Canis lupus familiaris: one gene and its partners. The protein of the gene in region 3 purifies or fractionates together with the protein of the main gene of each other region. This does not show direct contact. Links are inferred from orthologs where the notes say so. Each region holds a gene or a part of one and is shown on either strand. Other genes may lie near its edges. The genes, in order: ARRB2, APPL1, AKT1, ILK and TUBB.

The links.
Region 1: the proteins of AKT1 (region 3) and ARRB2 purify together in Homo sapiens (affinity purification with western blotting; 4 studies listed by BioGRID and IntAct, with this or other methods). This does not show direct contact. The link is inferred for Canis lupus familiaris from reciprocal best matches to the Homo sapiens genes AKT1 and ARRB2.
Region 2: the proteins of AKT1 (region 3) and APPL1 purify together in Homo sapiens (affinity purification with western blotting; 3 studies listed by BioGRID, with this or other methods). This does not show direct contact. The link is inferred for Canis lupus familiaris from reciprocal best matches to the Homo sapiens genes AKT1 and APPL1.
Region 4: the proteins of AKT1 (region 3) and ILK purify together in Homo sapiens (affinity purification with western blotting; 3 studies listed by BioGRID). This does not show direct contact. The link is inferred for Canis lupus familiaris from reciprocal best matches to the Homo sapiens genes AKT1 and ILK.
Region 5: the proteins of AKT1 (region 3) and TUBB purify together in Homo sapiens (affinity purification with mass spectrometry, with the first as the bait; 3 studies listed by BioGRID). This does not show direct contact. The link is inferred for Canis lupus familiaris from reciprocal best matches to the Homo sapiens genes AKT1 and TUBB.

What each region holds. Positions count from the first base shown.
Region 1 is NC_049226.1:32,039,427-32,042,935, reverse strand, and holds part of ARRB2 (beta-arrestin-2), read left to right. Parts: intron 1-10; coding exon 11-41; intron 42-658; coding exon 659-719; intron 720-831; coding exon 832-876; intron 877-1,093; coding exon 1,094-1,380; intron 1,381-1,577; coding exon 1,578-1,637; intron 1,638-1,981; coding exon 1,982-2,049; intron 2,050-2,194; coding exon 2,195-2,330; intron 2,331-2,499; coding exon 2,500-2,584; intron 2,585-2,767; coding exon 2,768-2,840; intron 2,841-3,094; coding exon 3,095-3,232; intron 3,233-3,509. UniProt on the Homo sapiens protein: Functions in regulating agonist-mediated G-protein coupled receptor (GPCR) signaling by mediating both receptor desensitization and resensitization processes.
Region 2 is NC_049241.1:33,415,259-33,419,253, reverse strand, and holds the start of APPL1 (DCC-interacting protein 13-alpha), read left to right. Parts: upstream 1-1,186; 5' UTR 1,187-1,313; coding exon 1,314-1,367; intron 1,368-1,653; exon of another isoform or gene 1,654-1,736; intron 1,737-1,904; exon of another isoform or gene 1,905-2,084; intron 2,085-3,995. UniProt on the Homo sapiens protein: Multifunctional adapter protein that binds to various membrane receptors, nuclear factors and signaling proteins to regulate many processes, such as cell proliferation, immune response, endosomal trafficking and cell metabolism.
Region 3 is NC_049229.1:72,734,915-72,738,855, reverse strand, and holds the start of AKT1 (RAC-alpha serine/threonine-protein kinase), read left to right. Parts: upstream 1-1,139; 5' UTR 1,140-1,183; intron 1,184-2,526; exon of another isoform or gene 2,527-2,545; intron 2,546-3,014; exon of another isoform or gene 3,015-3,138; intron 3,139-3,476; 5' UTR 3,477-3,569; coding exon 3,570-3,615; intron 3,616-3,941. UniProt on the Homo sapiens protein: AKT1 is one of 3 closely related serine/threonine-protein kinases (AKT1, AKT2 and AKT3) called the AKT kinase, and which regulate many processes including metabolism, proliferation, cell survival, growth and angiogenesis.
Region 4 is NC_049242.1:30,417,837-30,422,030, forward strand, and holds the start of ILK (integrin-linked protein kinase), read left to right. Parts: upstream 1-1,389; 5' UTR 1,390-1,517; exon of another isoform or gene 1,518-1,645; intron 1,646-1,930; exon of another isoform or gene 1,931-1,936; 5' UTR 1,937-1,982; coding exon 1,983-2,071; intron 2,072-2,269; exon of another isoform or gene 2,270-2,502; coding exon of another isoform or gene 2,503-2,510; intron 2,511-4,194. Other genes in the region: RRP8 (ribosomal RNA-processing protein 8), read right to left, coding at 1,071-1,169. UniProt on the Homo sapiens protein: Scaffold protein which mediates protein-protein interactions during a range of cellular events including focal adhesion assembly, cell adhesion and cell migration.
Region 5 is NC_049233.1:649,862-654,095, forward strand, and holds the start of TUBB (tubulin beta chain), read left to right. Parts: upstream 1-1,425; 5' UTR 1,426-1,625; coding exon 1,626-1,682; intron 1,683-2,988; coding exon 2,989-3,097; intron 3,098-3,317; coding exon 3,318-3,428; intron 3,429-3,722; coding exon 3,723-4,234. UniProt on the Homo sapiens protein: Tubulin is the major constituent of microtubules, a cylinder consisting of laterally associated linear protofilaments composed of alpha- and beta-tubulin heterodimers.

The DNA of each region.
Region 1 (3,509 bases), on a different chromosome or scaffold from region 3:
GTTTTGTTAGGGTCTTCAAGAAGTCAAGCCCTAACTGCAAGGTGAGTCTCCCAGGCTGCTTTTCCTCTCTGGGCCCCTGCAAGGCCCAGCCTGCCCCTAGCCAATCCCCAACCCCTGGCTCCCCACTTCCTGTGACAGCTAAGAGCTGACTTCCTTCCCTCCTGAAGCCCCTTGCCACAAAGGCCGCTCAACCTGAGCCAGCCACGGGGCTGGGTGGGGAAGGTCTGTGTCCCTCGGCAAGATGCAGGGGGAGGGGCCAGGAGCCCTAGGCTGTACCCCTTTGAGGAGCCAGCTTTCCCAGGGCTGGGAAGGGTCAGCAGCTCCCCAGGCTATGGCCTGCGTCTCCCAGAGCCCCTGGAGGGGAGCCAGCAAGGCCATACCCTGCTCTCTAGCTGACCTACCTGTGGCCTGTCCCACCACTACCCCGCCCCACCACTCATACACACTTCACACTTGCCTGACTTATGGGCAGAGGTGTGAAGAGCTTCAAGGTTGGGGACCCTGGGAAACTCCACTGTTCTGCCCTTCTGAGCCCGCTGGGAGGAGACCCCAAGGATACTTCAGCCTGGAAGGACTAGGGGCAGGGCAGGCACCCTGAAGGGCTCTGATGCCCCTCAACCTCCCACCCTATCTTCCCTGTGCCCCTCTGTACCCTTAGCTCACTGTGTACTTGGGCAAGCGGGACTTTGTGGATCACCTGGACAAAGTAGATCCTGTGGGTAAGTGTGCCCAGAAAGCAGCAGCAGGTGCCCTGGGAGGAGGAGAGGCTCCTGGGCCCAGGGATAGTGGGGAGGCCCTGGCAGGAAACGAGCTCATGTGTTCCCCTCCCAGATGGCGTGGTGCTCGTGGACCCAGACTACTTGAAGGATCGCAAAGGTACTGGCCAGGTGGAGGGGGCCTGGGGAGGTGGGGTGCGCTGGCACTGACACGACCCCGGGGACATGGAGGGCCAATCCCAGACATGGAGAGTCGACTCCAGGGACACAGAGGGCAGGGACAGAAGGGGAAGTGGGTTTGGGCAGCTTTGATGCTGCTAGGGGCCGGGGGGCTGGGGCTAAGGGTCCTGACCGCCCCCCCTTGCCCTCCCTCTTAGTGTTTGTGACCCTCACCTGCGCCTTCCGCTATGGCCGCGAGGACCTGGATGTGCTGGGCCTGTCCTTCCGCAAAGACCTGTTCATTGCCACCTACCAGGCCTTCCCCCCCGGGCCCAACCCACCCCAGCCCCCCACTCGCCTGCAGGACCGGCTGCTGAGGAAGCTGGGCCAGCATGCCCACCCATTTTTCTTCACAGTGAGGATGCTCCTCACCCTGTACAGGGCAAGGGGTCTAGGGCTGAGCTTGGGGGGTGGGCACCTGTCACAGATGGATCTGGAAGAAACAGTGAGGACCCCCCTGCCCTGTCACTTCAGGGTCACCCAGCACCCTTGTCTCTGCATCCTCCCTGGGGTCCCCCCTTCCTTCTTCCTCTCTCACCCCCCCCCCCGCCTCCTTTTCCAGACTCTTAGTTGGGATTGGGAGAAATTTTGGTGGGGGGGGCTCTTGGGAAGAACTGAAGCCTCCCCTTGCCTCCACCACAGATACCCCAGAACCTGCCCTGCTCTGTCACCCTGCAGCCGGGCCCAGAGGACACGGGGAAGGTAGGGCAGGGATGGCTCTGAGGGCTCAGGACAGCACAGGGCCCAGCGGGAGCTGGGGATACCCCGGGAAGGGGCTGTTGGGGAGCAGCCTGGGCAGGACAGGGGATCCTGGACCCCGGGGCCGGGGGTGACCTTGCACAGACAGGAACAGTGCCCTGCCCAGTAGACTGGGTGTCGGGGGCAGGGGCAGAGGACGGAGCCCCCAGCCCTGTGTGCCTCACACCAGACTGCAATGGGGCAAGAACCCCCCACCCCCACCCCCGAGGCAAGGCGAGGGAAGAGGGAAGGAAGGGTGTGGTGGTGTCAGGAGCCTTGTGTAAGATGTGACCTTTTCTCCCTCCCAGGCCTGTGGAGTAGACTTTGAGATCCGAGCCTTCTGTGCCAAATCTCTAGAAGAGAAAAGCCACAAAAGGTGAGGGGATGTGAGCTCCCCTGTGGTCTGACCCTTCCCTCCCCGCTCCCCGGAGCCCCAGGCACCCCCGCCCCTCCATCAGACCAGCAGTGGGGGTCTGGGTATCTAAGGACCGGCCCCTCCCTCCCCTCCTCCCCACCCCCAGGAACTCTGTGCGGCTGGTGATTCGAAAGGTGCAATTTGCCCCGGAGAAACCCGGCCCCCAGCCATCAGCAGAAACCACACGCCACTTCCTCATGTCTGACCGGTCCCTGCATCTAGAGGCTTCCCTGGACAAAGAGGTGGGGTGCAGGAGGGTGGCACAGGTGCCGCAGCGTGCATAGCCCCCTGGCCGAGGCCTGAAGCTGGCTGCCAGGACCCCGGGTGTCTGTGTGTGGGGCAGGCGGGAGGAACGCTGATCATGAGGCTGGTGCCAGCAGACAGCACTAACTGGACCCTTCCCCTCAAAAGCTGTACTACCACGGGGAGCCCCTCAACGTCAACGTCCACGTCACCAACAACTCCACCAAGACCATCAAGAAAATCAAAGTCTCCGGTAAGCGGGGTGACAGAAGGGGAATTGAGGGGGGTTTTGGGGGTGCCCATGTGGCTCCTGGTCATGTTGGCCCCAGGGACACACCCCAGAATTAGATGCAGCCTGGGGTGGTGGGGGTGGGTCCCAGCGGGGCAGCAGCCTGAGCTTCCTGCACGGCTGCTTCACCACCCCCTCACCCCACAGTGAGACAGTATGCTGACATCTGCCTCTTCAGCACTGCCCAGTATAAGTGTCCTGTGGCTCAGATCGAACAAGAGTGAGTAGCAGGATGGCCAGAGCCCCACCTTAGGGCAGGACCATAGGCAGGGGTGGGGGGTGATGGGGTGAGGATGGAATGAACCCACTCTACCTACAAGGAAGGGGATTCCCTCCATCAGCAGGTGGCTCTGAGCACATCCTACTCCTCATACCTGCAGCCCAAACACAAAAGGGTGGGTGGTAGTGGAGAAGCCGCTGGGGGTGGGCATCTGGCCCCTCCTAGAGCCTCGTTCTCTTGCTCCCACCCCCCAGTGACCAGGTGTCACCCAGTTCCACATTCTGCAAGGTGTACACCATCACCCCGCTGCTCAGTGACAACCGGGAGAAGCGCGGTCTTGCCCTGGACGGGAAGCTCAAGCATGAAGACACCAACTTGGCCTCCAGCACCATGTGAGACCAGGCTGGGTGGGGGCGGGGGTGTGGGTGGGGTTTGGGGCGTCCCCCCTCTGCAGCCTAGGGCGTACATGCCCCTTCAGGGCCGGCTGCGTGTCAGGCTGTGTCCTGGGTGCCGGGGCTTGATCGGGGAACAGAGCAGGTGGAGCTTCTAGGCAGGGAAGACAGATAAGGGATGAGTGCTGAGAAGCAGCAGGTTAGAGATGGGAGATAGTAGGGGGCAGGGAGCGGGCAGGGTGCAGCCACTGTAAATAAAGTGGCTGGGGGAGGCATG
Region 2 (3,995 bases), on a different chromosome or scaffold from region 3:
AGCCAGGTGTTCCTAACGGCTAGAATTTTACAAGACACTTATGATTTTGCCATTTTCTTTGCATACTGATGAAAACTTCTTGTGACTCTACAGAGAAATGCATGAGGCAGTTGTGAGGTTGGGGAAGAAGGACAAAGAACCAGGAATTCTAACCCAGACCAGGTGTTGGAATCAGAGCTTCACTCTTCTTTACTGTAAAATTAGAGGCTGAAGAAGCTATTGAAAACTTCTTCCACAACTTTTTGATCTAACAGATATGCCTGTCAGCTACCCACATAATTAACCAGTGTGTGCTAAACTTTAAAAGATGTTTTCTGGGCAGCCCGGGTGGCTCAGCGCTTTAGCGCCTGCCTTCGGCCCAGGGCGTGATCCTGGAGACCCAGGATGGGGCCTGCTTCTCCCTCTGCCTGTGTCTCTGCCAATCTGTCTCTCTCTCTCTCTCTGTGTGTGTCTTTCATGAATGGATGAATAAAATTTAAAAAAAATCGATTTAAAAAATAATTTAAAAAAAAGATGTTTTTGTTTGTGATTTATAACAACTACTGAAGTCTGAATTGAGGCACCGTAGCCCTTCCAGGCCAGGTAAGAATCGATGAATCGATAATAAAGTCTCATGTTTTTAACTGAATATACTGATATCCAAGTGCCCAGAAAAATAACTGCGGGTCTACCGTCCATACATTTACTGGGAAGCCTGCTAGTGACCCAGCTTGGGATCCCACAGCCGGCTGAGCGGGCCAGCACCCTGTCGCCGGGAGGGTGGGGGTGGGGAGCAGACTGGACGCTGCGGGCAGGGTTGCGAAGGTTGTAACTGGAGCAAGAAAGGCCCCCGGCAGTAGGGCCTCTTCCGTGGTCTCTGATGAAATGTTGCAGGAGGAGTAAAGACACCCCAAACTCCCCGGGGTGGTGGTCCTCAGACGAGGCTCTGGTTCGCTGAAAGGCGAGAGACGGTCCCCCACAATTTGCATCAACAGGCGCGCGCAGGGCGGACGGTCGCAGCGAGCAGTCAGCGCCACCCGCGAGGCCGCCGCTCACCACAGCACCCAGAGCCGCGAAGGAACCTCCGGGCTAGCCCCGCCGCGCTGACGGGCGTCGCTGCGAGCCAATGGGCGCGCCGGGAGGCGGGGCAGGGCGGCCGAGGGGGCGGGATTTCCCGCGCGGCCGCTCGGCGCCTGGCGAGAGCGGCGCGGGCGGCGACGGCGGCCGCGCCTGCGAGAGAGGGCGGGTCGGGGTCAGCTGCTGCAGGCGGGCGGGCGCGGCGAGCTGTGGGCGGCTGCCGTGTCTCCTCCTGCCGCCGCCCTCCCTCCGCCACGATGCCGGGAATCGACAAGCTGCCCATCGAGGAGACGCTGGAGGACAGCCCGCAGGTGAGGCGCGGGCGGCGGCGGGAGGCGAGGGAAAGAGCAGGGCGGGCCGACCCCAGGCCTGGCGCCGCGGCGGCCGCAGGTGCCCGCCCCGGCCCAGGTGGGCGCCGCCGTCCAGTGCCCCCGCCCGTCGCGGGCCGCGCCCCGGGTCGCCGCGGCCCGGCCGCCAGCCCGAGGCCCGCGTGGGCCTGCGCCGCTGGGCCGAGAGAGCCACCCGCGAGGTCTGGGACGTCGGCGGGCGGCGGCCGAAGCTCCGCCGCCCGCGCTCGTGGGCCCGGCGGTCACGTACGTTCGCGGGGGCTCCCTCGTATTTGACGAAAGGTGCGTTTTCATCGCCGTCATCTAAGGTCGTAAATTCCAATCCTGGGATCTCTTCGGAGGAAATGCAGAAGGAGGAAAAAAATAAAAAAATAAAACAGCACCCCCTCACCCCCTCACCCCCTCACCCCCCGTAGACTTATCCCACGACCCCTGAGCAAGCCCTTGGGGAAGGAAATGGATAGTGTTCCCTCCGGAGTTGCAGGAACGCTGCTGATTTACCCGCCTGGAGAGTCCTCGGCGAAGCCCGTCCTGTGCCTCGGAGCCTCCCCGCGGACTGTGTCCCGCGTCGTGGCCGCGGCTGTGGCCGCTGTCACTCGAGCTGTGCACGGCCGGTGACGGACGGACGGCGCCTTCGCGGCGGCACGACCAACTGCTGCGCGGAACGGTGCAGACTTGGCCCTTAATAAACTCATCAAAATAAAAGCCCCGTGTTTTGTGCTCGGGAGCGGGTGGGAGGGGTAATGCTAATGCGGTTGCTGGAGCCCCGAGACGGTCCAGGGAAACCTAGCAATTTGTTAACGTGTTCGATATTGAAGAACGAGATGAATTACATTTAAAATTACATGTTGGTAGGGCGCTGTAACTTGCATCGGGAGACCTCATCCTCAAAGCCTGTCTCCTACACAAGTGATTTAAGCGATTTAGGACCGTGTTGCTGGTTGGCCACCTCTGAAATGGTGCGCATTCAGAACTACCATTGCATACATTTCACGCGTGTCTTGACGGTTTAATATGGCCCCAAAAGATGAGGAAGTAGGGGCTAGGTCCCCCTGGCCTGTGTGACACGTCTGCTGTGACTTTGTGCCAATTTTAATTGCCAAGTGGAAGTCGGGCTCTGATTGTGGAATTGATTTTTTTTTTTTCCCCATGCCGAAAGTTATCTTCACAGGCCAGTTGTTTGCTGGTAATGTACTCTTATCAGCCTAAACTGACACAGAGAGAAACCCGCATCTTGGTTTATCTTGACTGCCAGAATAGCTAGTTCAAATTCTTTTTTTTTTTTTTTTTTTTTTTTGCTAGTTCAAATTCTTATTGATATCTGAAGTATAAAGTTAGGAGATGTATTTGTTTCAGATGTTTTGTAAAGGTTTTGTGGTACGAGTTGGTCAGGTGCACTTTGTCATCTTTTATTATGTAAGGCTCAACAGGTTGCTGTACCTTTTCTTACCTGGCCTGGTTTTTATAGCCCATAAATCTTACACGCAGGCCACAATGGGTGCCCTTGCCACGACTTGTGAGGAGGATAAAATGTGACTCATCTAATTTCTCGAACTTTTCACACAGTTTACAAATTGAGCATTCTTTTTTTTTTAAATTAAGTATGTGCCATATTAGTATCAGTTTTATAGTAATTTTTTAATGAAATAGCTGCCTTGATACTCTTTCAGTTTCTTTAAGTGATAACTTGAACTAGGTACTTTGGAAAATTAGGATAAATGGGATTTAGAAAGGGAAGACGTGGGACAGGTGGGTGGTTCAGTGGTTGAGTGTCTGCCTTTGGCTCAGGGCAGATCCCGGAGTGCCGGGATTTGAGTCCTGCATCTGGCTTATTGCATGGAGCCTACTTATCCCTCTGTCTCTCTCTGTGTGTCTCTCATGAATAAATAAATAAAATATTTTAAATTAAAAAAAAAAAAAAAAAGGGAAGATGCCTGGAAGTAATACTTAGGGAAAACTTATGGTACGATGGAAAGCCCTAGATTCTGGGATTCAGGATATAAGGGTTTTAGTCTTCACTGTGACTTCACTTTAGGGCAAGTCACTCAACTTCTCAAAATCTTAGCTGTTATAGTGAATGTTTTTATTTTTGTACCTGATTATAAAAGACATAGTCATGAAAGAAAGAAAAATTGGAAGGTACAGGAAACAGTTACCTGTCCTGCACCCAGCAGCAAACCCTGTTAACTGTGTTTCCTCATTTGCTTTTATATATTTTAATGTAATTGAAGTTATATTGTGCATAACAATTTTTAATCTGCTTTAACTTAACAATGTAGTGTTAAGCATGTTCACGTATTAAATTCTGAATAAAAAAATTTAAAGGCTGCATGTTTTTTCATGTGACTTAACAGCTGTCCTACTGTTGGACTTAAAGTTTTTCATAAGTTTTGTTTTTACATATAGGACTGAGGTTAATGCTTTGGGGCATAAATTTTTGTCCTCATTTGGAATATTTATTTAGGATAGAGTCCAGGAAGTTGAGTAGCAAAGCGTATGAAAACTTTTAAAGTTCCTGGTATAGAGAAGTTTTTATTTAGATCATTAGATCCTAACCAGAAGTGGTCTGCCAGTGCTGAGAAAAAAAAGGTA
Region 3 (3,941 bases):
TCTGACCCTGGATAAGGAACCGAAGTGGCCCTCTCCCCCACAGAACACACGCTCCTGGAGCGTAACTCGCGGAGTTTTCCTTTCACAAAAGGATCGCTAAGACTTGGAGGCCTCAGGGGTGGGGGGAGGGGCAGCTGTTGGAGAAATCTCTGGCTCTAGCCGAGTGCAGGGCCCGGGGAGGGGTCATCTGCAGTGTCCTCCCGCCTCGCCCGCGCCTCGCTGCCCACCCCTGCCCGGTGGACTGTGGGAGGCCGGGGCCCCACTGGGTGGCGGGCAGGGGCCTGGGCTGCCCTCTGACAGCCCTTCTCTGGGTGTCTGTCCCAGCCCAGGACAGGCACCGCCCGCCAGGTGTGCGCTGGAAGCCGCCACAGTCCCTGGGGCCCGCTTGTCCCGCTGTCACCGTGGGAAGCCCCCCATCTGCTCCTGTAGAGCTGTCGGTGTCTTGCTTCGGGGCCACGGGCAGCTCTGGGAAGGCGCGGCCAGGGATGGAGGGTCGTGCCCAGGGCAAGGTGGCTCTGCAGCCCGGGGGCCTGGGACCCCTCCCTCCGCAGCCCCCGTGTCCCGGGCGCGCATTGCAGCCGGGGTCCCAGGCCCCATGGGGGGGCCGGGTCGTGCCTCGGGCCTTTGAGGGTCACCTCGGCTGCGCCCCCCCCCCCGGGCATCCTCCCCCCGCGCACGGGGGCAGGAGCCCCGGGAAGGCCCCACCGGCCGCGGCGGAACCGGGCCGCGCCGGGAAACTGAGGCCGGGCAGCACGCGGCCGCGGGGAGCCTGGGCCGCCGCCTGCCGCCTGCCGCGCGCTCCCGGCGCCGCGCCCTCGCCCCGGCCGCGCCGGGGGCGCCCCGGGCGGCGGAGGCGGATGTGGGCGGGCGGCCGGGCGGGGCGGCGCGGGGCGGGGAGAGGGCGGGCCGGCGGCGGCGGCGGAGGCGGAGGCGGCGGCGGCGGGACGAGCGCGGCGGGCGGGCGGGCGGGCGGCCCAGCGCAGCCAGCGCAGCAGCGCAGCCGGGGGACGCGAGCCGGCGGCCGCCACGAGCACCGGGCCCGGCGGCGCGGAGCCCCGCCCGCCCAGCGCCCGCCCGCCGCGGCCTCCAGCCCGGCCCCGCCCGGCGGGCGCGCGGGGATGCGGAGCGGCGGGCGCCGGAGGCCGCGGCCCGGCTAGGCCCGCGCTCGGCCCGGAGGCGCCCGGTGAGTGCCCCGCCCGCGCCCCGGCCCGACTTCCTCCCGCGGGCGCTTTGTTGGCGGCGGCGGCCCGGGCGCGGCGGGGGCGGGGAGCGGAGCAGGAAGTGGCCGAGCGCGGCCTGGGCGGGGAGGGCGCGGGCCGGGCCGGGCCGGGCCGGGGCGGCGGGCGGCGGGCGGCGGGGTGCGGGGTGCGCCCGGCCTCCCTCCTGACCTTGGAGGCGGCGGCCGCGGGGCGCGGGGCGCTCGCGGGGTGCGGCGGCCGCGGCGAGTTTGCGGGGGGCCCCGCGGCGGAGCCCTCCGCGGCCGCGAGACGGAAAGTTGTACGTGATGGCGAGGTGCCCGGCGGCCTTTGTGGGCCGCGCCCGCTGCGGGCCTGCAGCCTGCGCCTGAGCGGTGGGCCCGGGGGCGCCGCCCACCCGGCCGGGGGTTCCTGCGCGCTGTCGGGGGGCGGGGGCCCGGGTGTGCCCCGAGCCCGGTGCAACGGGAGGGCGGGGGCGCCTGGCGGGCCTGGGTCCCCTGCCCTGCGCGAGCTGAGCCCGCGGCCCCACGGCGGCCTTTGGAGGCAGAGGAAGGGGCCCTGTGAGCGCAGGCAGCGCCTCCTGAGCCATCCCCTAAATAATAACGACGCTAGCAGCCCTCGGGGTGGAGGCCCTGGGGTCCGGAAGCCGTGGGAAACGGGGACCCCGTCCCTGCGGCCGTGCGCCCCGAGTGCGCCCCGAGGCTGCCGCGCTGGCCTGCTGCGTGCGTTTCTCTGCAGATGCACACCAGCCTGTGTGTGTGCACAGATATATTTTTACACGCGGGGCTCGACAGCTGTCTGACTCTGTCAGCCGCGGCCCCACGTAGGCCAGGGTGGGGGCGGGGGACATCCAGAGGTCTCCGAGGCCAGCCCTCTGCCTCCAGGCCACGCCCACTTGTGTCCCCAGAGGGGCCCCGGCCTGCCCCGGGGCTCGGGGCTCGGAGCCCTGTCCTTGGAGGTCTTGCTCCCCGCGCTCGGCTGCCGGTGGCCTGCGGGGCCCGTTGGGCACTTTCTCCCTGGGCAAAGTGTGTTCCCTGGCCTGGCGGTACACACAGCCAGCGGGGGCTTCTCGCTCTTCTAAATTTAGCCTAAGACCGTAGGTTCAGAGCAGCCTCCCCTGGGTCCTCACCCTGCCCCAGGAGGCCGGTAAGGTGCGTGGCCAGAGGGTGCCTAGGCAGCTGTAGGAAGAGCCGAGCTGGGCTCGCTGCGGAGGTCCCCTGGCGTCCTGGGCCCGAGGTCCCCGAGTCGAGAGGCTCCCGGGCTGCCCTCGGCAGTGCTCGCGTGGAGGGCTCGCAGAGGACTGCGCCCAGGAAGAGTGCTCTCTCCCAGGACGCACAGAGTGGGTGAAGGTGTGAACTGGGTTTTGAGGGATGCCTAGGAGTTCATCCAGCAGGGAGCGACGGGGAGGGCCCCTCAGGTTCAATGGCCAGAGTGTCTGCTCCAGGGAAGGCTGCTGGTGGGCCAGGGCGGGTGCCAGGGCCTCTGCATTTGTCTAGAGCACCCCCCCATTTGTTGCCTCCTGAATGCTGTAATTATGGGTCTGTGACCAGCCTGGACTGGGTGCTTCTCAGATGGGACCATGTGAACCTCTCTTTGTCCCCGGGGCCGAGCCTGGCGAAACCAGAGATGCCTGGTCCGTGCTGGCCGGATGAATGAACCAGATTCAGACCGGCAGGGGTGCTGTGGTTTAGGAGGGGCTTGGGGTTTCTTGGGGGGAGGTATTTTATGTCACCCTGGAGGGCTCCGGGCTCTCATTTGCGCCAGCCGCCTGGTCTCCTGGCCCTACTTTGTTCTGTTTGAATTTCTCCTCTTTCCTAGTCTGGGGCGAGAAGGAGGAACCCCGGCCTGTGGGCAGGGAGCTCAGGGGCACTCACCAGGGCCCTGGAGAGGCCAAGCAGCATAGACCAGAGCAGTCAGAGGGGCTGCCTGGAGGAGGTGGCAGGTTAGGGAGGCTGGGATATACCCGGAGGGCCTCTGGGGTGGGGAATGGTCTGTGGCCAGGCGGGGGGAAGTGGGAATGTAGGAGGGCCAGCAGACCCTGGGGACCTGGGGGTCAGAGAGGGGTGGCAGGGGGATTGCAGCCTCGGCCCCAGGGAGCAGGGCTGGTAACCTGGACTCTGTCGGGGGCCGTGGTGGGAGCCATGGGGAGTGGCTGTGGCTCAGGGCTGTGAGGGGGTGGGAGGACCCCGCAGGGGATCCTGGGTGCGCAGGGCCTCCTGGCCTCACCGTGGGGCTGGAGGGGTGGACACAACCTCACACGCTGCCCCTTGATTTTTCCAGAGGCTGGGTACGCCGGCTGGCCTCGGGGAGACCCTGCTGAGAGGGGCCAGCGAGGGGCGCTGGGGTGGCCCCGGCCCGCTGGAGCAGGGCGCCATGAACGACGTGGCCATCGTGAAGGAGGGTTGGCTGCACAAGAGAGGTCAGTGCCCGCGGGGCTTGGGGCTGGGGCAGGGGTCCCGGGGCCGGCTCCCCTCGGGTGGCCGGGCTGGCGTAGTGGCCGCCTGGCCGGGTCCCTAGGGCGGGAGAGCCACCGCCACCTCCCTGCCCGCTTTCCTGGAAGGCAGGGAGGCCACTGGGGCGCGTCCAAGGCCTGGCTCGCTGGCGGCCCGGGGCACTGCCCGAGGGCTCCTGAGGCCAGGGCTGAGGTGCTGCGCCTGGCCTGCTGCCCGCCTCGGGCCTGGGCTGGGGGGGCTCCGCACCACCCCGGGGCCCGGCACGGGGCGTGCATGTGCTGGAGCAGCGAGC
Region 4 (4,194 bases), on a different chromosome or scaffold from region 3:
GAAGCATCTGGATTATTCCTTGTTAACTCCACTACTTTTCATAATGTCGGCCAGCCCCTGACCAACCTTTAAGTCACCATCTCAGCCTTTGGGAGGCTGGAAAGAAGAGAAACCACCCACCTCACTTCTTCAATTTGCAAATGAGAACATGGAAGTTCCCCAGAGGAATGTGGTAAGGCCACAAGTAACAGGACCAAGGCCAGAGAACAGAAGTTCCAACCCTCCATCTCAGGCTTTTGCCTCTAGGTGGTATCCTTCTATAAAAGGTAGGGAGGTTTCTGAAAACAAGAGTGACACAATCACAGGTGTGTATTTCACGTGAGTCTAGCTGTAGTGTAGAGAATAAACTGAAAGGGACAGGCTGTGGACCGAGAGACCAGGGGTGTTGATTACAGCAATGGGTTGAGGGGATGATGAAAAGGAATAAAGCAGGCTGATTCCACGCTGGACGCCGACTGAAAGGTAGGAAAAGCCTGCGGAAGTACAGCAGCTTTCACATATGCAAAGGCTTATAGGAGAAGGTCTCCTGTCCAGGAGGCCTTCTGGATTGAAGTCCTGCGGGGTGGCCCCAGCGCAGGCATTTAACCTGGAGGTTTTCAGTCCCCACGCCGCACCACTCCTTGAGAACGGTAGTGCTGGTAATCCTTCATGGTCATTCACTCTTGCTCTCTCCAATCCAGTCTCCACACCGCAACCAATGGCTTTTCCAAAATGCAAATCTTAAGAAATCACTCCCTGCTAAAACCATTTCATTGGCCTTTACCGTTAAAATCTGCAAAACTTCTACTCTGCCTCTCCAACTTCAAGGGCATACCCTCTCAGCTCTCTGTGCTCCAACCGCGCGGACTAGTGTGCGTGTGTCCCGAACAACCCGGACACGCTTCCCTGCCCCAGAGCCTTTGCACGTGCTTTCCCCGTCCAGACAACCGTGTTCACTAACTTCGGCTCAACAGCTCTCACTGAGTGGGATCTCGCGCCGGCCGCAGGCGCCCCGCCGCCCCGACACACTCACCCACACGCGGCGTGACCCAAAGCTCGGATCCACCTGCGTGGGCTTCTCGGCCGCTCACCTTGATCTGCGAGGCTGCGGCGGGCGGAGGCCGTGGAGCTACAGGCCGGAAGCCCGTCCCTGCTGGGGCCTCGTCGGCCCACTCTGGCTCCTCAAACATGCGGGTGGGGTGGGGGAGGCCGCGGGGTCCACACGCCTCTGCACGTGCAGGACGCGTCTCCAGCCCTCGGAGCGCGCGAACCGCCGGAACCGCGCCGGAGACCAAGGAGTGAGAGTCTGCGGGGCTAGAGCGGCCGGAGCGGCGCCGGAAACCATCGAGTTTAGCGCTGCTGGCTAGAAGGGCAAGGGAGGCGGGAGGCGGGAGGCGGGAGGGAGGGACGGGGGGAGGGAGGGAGGGAGGGGGGGAGGAATGGGCCCGCGCTGGCCGCAGAGGGCCAGGGGCGGGGCTGCGCGGCGGGCGCGGCCAGACGGGAGTTCCCCGAAGAAGGCTCCTCCAGCCCGAGTCCCGGTGAGTGCGGGAGCACCCGTTCCCCTCCCCGAGGCCCGACCCCGGCCGGCTCGCCGGCCTCCGCGCGGCCCGAATACCGAGCAGGGAACGAGGGCCCCCCGGGAAGGACCCCCGTCGCCTCTCGCAGGGTACCGGGCGCCCGACTCCCCTCCCCCCAGCTCAGTTCGCGGGCGGGTCCCAGAGCGCGTTCGCCGACACCCCTCCGTCGGGGACTCTACCTCCGAACCACCCCCTACCTCGCGCGGACCCGCCTTCCTCTGGCGCCCAGGGACACAGCCAGGGACCATCCCGCCTCCCTGAACTGCTTCCCAGATCTCCAGGAGCCGGGGAGGAGCGGGAGACCCCCACCCCCTACACGAACACTTCTCTCCGGTAGGGGACAGAGCTCGGGGTTCACCCCCCTGCCTGACTCTCCACAGTCCCCAGGCTTCCCCAGTCTAGGGCGCTCAGCGCCGGGACGCTGCTATGGACGACATTTTCACCCAGTGCCGGGAGGGCAACGCGGTGGCCGTTCGCCTGTGGCTGGACAACACGGAGAACGACCTCAACCAGGGGTGAGCTGACGTGGCTGGTGGGTGAGAAGGGCAGAGACAAGCTCCTCTCCGCAGTGTGGGGTGCTCACGTCGGCTGGGGGCGGCTGGCTTTCCTACCCTGTGCGACCAGTGCAAAGCACAGCCTGTGGGGGGCAGAGGGTTTCCACAGAGGAAGCTGTGTTTCTGCTGAATTTTGACCGCTCAACAAGAGTTTTTCAGGCGCAGGGTGCAGAGAGCTTTCCAACCTCAGTGAACTGCATCGGCAAAATATAGGAGGCAAGACAGTGAGCAGAGAATCTGGAAATTGTCCACCGGTCCATATGCCCGGAGGATAGAAGACTTCTGTGAGCTTCTATGGATTGAAGCTTTGGGTACAAGTGGTAAACCACCGAAGATAAGACTGGAGGGGTCGGCTGCAAGGGTCAGCCAGATCATGCAAGGATATTTACACTATGATAAGGTCATTAACGTTAAGAGCAAGGGTTTAAAGCCCCTCTGTGATATGATGAGATTGTCCACTTAAGTGTCCTCTTGGATACCTTTTAAAGAGCAGGTGGCCATGTGGAGAGGCAATTGCTAAGTCTGTCCCAGGAGCGGTGATGCCTTAGACTAGAATGGGGGCAGATGAAAAACAAGTGCTTGGATTCCTGAAATCTTTAGTGTAAATAATTGATAAGACTTGGTGTGGGGAGTGAGGAAGGTCAAAGATGATGACCAGGGTTCTGGCTCAGACACTTGGGTAGATAGTTGCTTTTACTGAGTTGGACAAGGCTGAAGGATGATGAGTGCTGCTGTGACATGGTAAAGTAACTGTACAGCAGAGTGGAAATGTTGAGTAGGTTGTTGGTTATGCAGATTTGCAGTTCAGGAGAAATCTGACTTGGAGACACAGATTTGGGAGATGTTAGCATATAGATGATACCTGAAGACATGGGTGTGAAGGAGAGGGAATGAGAACTCTGCAAGGCTAACTAAAAAGGTGCCATTGGAGGTTGCAGAAGAAACAGGAAAATGTTAGTAAAGCTCAGAGAAGTGAGTGTTTCAATGAAGGGGGAGTGGTCAACAGTAGTTTAGGCTGTTGAGAAGTCAAAAAACTTGAGCACTTTAAAGTAACTGTTGAATTTACAATAATGAGTATTTGATGATCTTTGCGAAGGCTGCCTTAGAGGAAAATGGATGAAGAAATCAAACAACACTGGGTTCCTTCTTTAAAGTGCTGGTTAAACACCTCCCATGCTAGAGGCCCAGACATACTGCCAGCCCTCAAGGCAGCAAGCAGCCTGGTGGCAAGTTGAATGGGAGGTGAGGAAATAGAGAGTGAACGTAGACAAGTTCTTCAAGGTTGGCTGAGACAAGGAGGCTTTTGGAAAAGCAGTAGTGATGTTGATGATTCAGGATGGTGGGTTTTCAGGGTTTTTTATTTTAAAATTTTATTCAGTTTTTAGGTTTGAGGAGTAAGGATCACCTGTCATCTTCATCCAGCTTTCCCAGGTTCTCAGTAGGCTCTATGCTATTCCTCATAATTCTTGGTCACTTTTCCATTTTTCATATTTTTACATAATTTCCATAATTCTTTCATAATTCTTCAAAGGGTGCTTAGATGAAGACTGAGCACTCTTACTATTTTGTTGGTAGGGTCATAAAGGTTTATGTGAAGTTGCCCAGGGGCACTTGATGCATTGTATAAAACCCTGGTGCCAAAGGGTGAATGGGTGGCATCACTGAAACTGGAAGGCTTTGGTGCTGGTTTGCGGGGATAGGCTTTGGGGGCCCAAGCACCCTATATTGCAGGATATTAAGTGTGGTGAACTCCCTGCAGGGCTTTCAGGATTATAGTCTGTGGTCCTGAGGTGACAGGCAGCCGAACAGCAGAAACCTTGTGCTCATACTTTTGCCCTCAGGCTCTGGCCAGTCCTGCCACACAAACTTCAGGCTGATAAACCAGGGCACAAATTAGAGCTGGGAGGCAAAACTCACTGATTAAGTAGGGGAGGATAGTTGCTTCAGAGAGGGGGAGGTGGGGATAATCCACCTCTGGGAAAGCTTTTGACTATCTCTAAAGTGAACAGATGAGGGCAGCTGTGGAGGAAAGTCATTAAAGGCCACGCCCCCCACTCTCATCCCCCGGGAGAGGGGGACATCTG
Region 5 (4,234 bases), on a different chromosome or scaffold from region 3:
TCCATGTAGGGAGCCCGATGTGGGACTCGACTCCGTGTCTCCAGGATCACGCCCTGCGAAGGCGCGCTAAACCGCTGAGCCACCAGGGCTGCCCTAAGAACCCCTTTTGATGGGGGAACAGAGGACTGGCTGAGGACAAAGCACAAGCCCAGGGCAGCACATTGACAAGCCCTTGAAACAGGCAGAGGGACCTTCCTCTACGGACTCAACTGCCTCGATGTTCATACTTTGCTAAGGAGAAAAGGCAATCTTAGCCCAACCCCCAGGATCCTGTAAGTCTTTTTAACATAAAAATTCCTTTAGAAAGATCCTTTATCTAAACCCACAAGATACATGTTGGCAATCATCCCCTAAGCACATGGCCCACCCACACACATCTAAAGGGTCTCACGAATCAGGTTTTATTAGCCGGTAATAAGTGACCTTTTCCCAACAATAGCTGGTCCCCTCAAGGTCCTGGAAACCTTGCTTCCAAATTCCTTAGAGAGTACGCTATCCTCAAACCCCTCCCAACTCCCAGGTATATAATCAGCCACCCCTCACCGGGCAGCAGCTCTTCCTGCCCACGGGTCCTGTCCCCCTGCTTTAATAAAACCACCATTTTGCACCAAAGATGTCTCAAGAATCCTTTCTTGGTCGTCGGCTCCGAACCTCACCTTATAATTCCAAAAACTTCATCACTTTCATGGATAGACTTCTGACTTCACAGATTCTACATACCAGCTTTTCTAAACCATTCAATTTATTTGAACACACCCTCAATTACATCTCTACTCTGAAAACCTATTGCTGCATTTTTGTTTCTCTTTCTAAACATTATCATTAGAAAATTTCCAAGGAAATAACAGGAGGGCCATCCCGTTTTTCCTATCTGGGGGAGCAGCGGCTTCCTGGATTTCATGCCGTGGGTCACCGAAGGACCCGCTGTTTGCTACCAGAGCAGGGTGCCGCATTTCTCCCCAGTTTTAGCTGAGCTAAGCAGCCCTCTTACCAAGAGCTACCGCAGCAGGGAACGTTCAGGGCGTGCCCACTTCGCCTTCCAACTCCTGGCACCCCAGGGTTCCCAATGCCTGTATCCCCCCCAAATGACTCCCTTTTAGTACAAAAAACTCAAGTGTAGGGGAAAGAAATTTGCGCAAGGTCATTTTTCATTAAAAAACAACAACAAGGCCAACTCTACCCCCCCCCCAACCAAAAATCCAGTATCCACTCATCCCTCCCTTCATTTTCCAGCGTAGACAACAATGGAGGACTACGACTCCCAGGGAGGCCAGCGTTCATCCACCCGAGCGGAGCCCAATAGACGAGACCTACGTGACCGGCACTGACCAATCGGGGCCCACTCCAGCGAGGCTTTGTCTGCCTGCCGCGGCGCGGGCGCTCTCCCGCCTGCAGCCTCCGCGCACGCGCGCCCCGCCCTGCCCGCCTTTCCTCCTTCTTCGCCCTCCCCGCTTCTTTCTACATCTCAACGTTCCTGTCGCTGCGCTCGGACCTCGTTGCTCCAGCCTCTGGACGCGTCCCATCCTTCCAGCCTGCGAATTGCAGTATAGGAAAAAACCCCATCTCACTTTCTGCCCCGTACACACCTTTGAGAGAAGCAAAAAGAATTAAAATAAATTTTAACAATGAGGGAAATCGTGCACATCCAGGCCGGTCAGTGTGGTAACCAGATCGGTGCCAAGGTAAGGATTTTAAGCCTTTTCTTTTAACTATTTTTTTTTTAGAAGAAAAACAAATCCAGCTAAATGATGAAGAATGTGGGACATATTTGCGTTCCATCCATTGTCCCGCTTTGCCCTCAAAAGTTTTCCATATACAATACACGGTTGCAGCTAGAATTTACTTTTGAAAAATGGGGGAATTGTACTTGGCTGGCTAATTTTGGGTGAGCTTTTGAGGACGTTTCGGGTTTGGAGTCGGAAGACTGGCTCTTTAAAATTTTACTTGAAAGTGTTGTAGTGGTCCGAGGAACGGGGAGAGAGGAGATGCGGAAACGGTCCGAGATACAGCGCGGAGAGGCTGTCCCCGTGTGCATCCCCTCCGCGGGGGGGGGCCCGGCTCCACGGAAGGGAGGGGGACAGGGAGCGCGGCTGGGCGGCGGCCGCGGGGTCCTGGGCCCACGGTGGGGAGGGGGGCGCGACGCGCCAGGGTGGGCTGCACCGCGCGGTGCCCGCCCCAAAAATGAGGGCAGTCCGCGAGGGGCGGTCCCGTAGGCCCTTGTGGATGGAAGATTGGTCCCTGCAGTATTAATTTCCTTTCATCTCCAGTAAAGAGACCCTTTTAGGGCGTGCACCGATATGGAGAAAGAGGGCGGGAGGATCCTTTTCTTTCAAGGGTCCCTCAGGGCTAAACGGTGGGAGAAGGGCCGAGAAGCCGTACTTAAAGCCAGGTATAACAAGCTAGCCAAGGAAGAAAATCGGAGGCTCAAGCGGGAGGTGGGGGTAGTTTCTTTTTCTGCGCGCGGTTACAGTGTGGCGGGGGCAGGGCAGGGAGGAAGTCCTGCTGCTACGTTGTAGCCCGGGGCTGGGCGGGGCGGGGCGGGGCTCCAAGCGCCGGGCTGGCCGGCTGGGGGCGCGCTAGCGGCACAGGCCCCCGCCCACGCGCGACGCCTCCCTTTGTCAGCGCCGACGGGCGGGCGCCGCAGTCACGTGGAGGGGCGTCCACTGCGGCGGCTTCTGTCCCTCGCCCCGGCTCGTGCGCGGGGGGAGGGTGTGCCGGTCGGCTCGGCTCGGAAGCCTCCGCCCGGCACACCCCCACCGCACCGCGTCCACCGGTCGCCGGGCCTCCGCGGCTGCACCCGAGCAGTGGACGCTGCAGCCCTTAGGGGGCTGCGGGTGTCTGGTGGAGGGCGCGGCAGGCAAGCAGAGCGCCCGGTAGGCGGCGGAGGTGCGCTCTCCGTGTGCGTGTTTGCACTTGAAATGTGTCGGTCGGGTGGGCATCACTGGCTGGGACCAGAGCTGTGCAAGTCTCCCTGCTCTTCCTCGGCAGTTCTGGGAGGTCATCAGCGATGAACACGGCATCGATCCCACCGGAACCTACCACGGTGACAGCGACCTGCAGCTGGATCGCATCTCCGTGTATTACAACGAAGCTACAGGTGAGGGCGGGAACGGGGAACGCGGGGCTCCCACTTCTCCGGGGTCTCCTTTCCAGCCCTGGAGAACCCACCTTGGGATGGGTCTGATTTTTAAAGAAGGTCTTACCCTGATTTGACTTCACGGTGGGGCAAAAGATCAGCTCTGCTGCCCCCTGGTGTCCTCCAGCTCAGCTCCATTTGGTCTTCTAGTCCACCAATTCTTATTCTTTCTTCCATATAGGTGGCAAATACGTACCTCGTGCTATCTTGGTGGATCTAGAACCTGGGACCATGGACTCTGTTCGCTCTGGTCCTTTTGGGCAGATATTCAGACCAGACAACTTTGTTTTTGGTGAGTTATGCACATATTAGTAGTGCTATTCAGTGTATTTGAAGGAAGGAGACTGCAAGAGCTAAGAAGTTATTTTTAATGCTGGAGCGTTTATCTGGGGATATGTTTTGAGATCTCTAACGCAGGGTGTTGGGAATGACCGCCTTAGATGGTAGATACTGAGGCAGGGATGTATCACAGGTGAGTAAGAAAAAAGGCACATTCGTGTATGTTATTTTAAAAGCTGAAGAGTGGAAATGGTCCTTTATCTTTGATGCTTTGCTAATAAAGAGAATTTTGTTCACCTCATTCCAGGGCAGTCTGGGGCTGGCAACAACTGGGCCAAGGGCCACTACACAGAGGGGGCTGAGCTAGTGGACTCAGTCCTGGATGTGGTGCGGAAGGAAGCTGAGAGCTGTGACTGCCTGCAGGGCTTCCAGCTGACCCACTCACTGGGTGGGGGCACAGGCTCTGGCATGGGCACGCTGCTCATCAGCAAGATCCGAGAAGAGTACCCTGACCGCATCATGAACACCTTCAGTGTGGTGCCCTCCCCCAAAGTGTCTGACACGGTGGTTGAGCCCTACAATGCCACTCTCTCTGTCCATCAGTTGGTAGAGAACACGGATGAGACCTATTGCATTGACAATGAGGCCCTGTACGACATCTGCTTCCGCACCCTCAAGCTGACCACGCCAACCTATGGGGACCTCAACCACCTTGTCTCAGCCACCATGAGTGGTGTCACCACCTGCCTCCGCTTCCCTGGTCAGCTCAATGCTGACCTCCGCAAGCTGGCAGTCAACATGGTGCCCTTCCCACGTCTC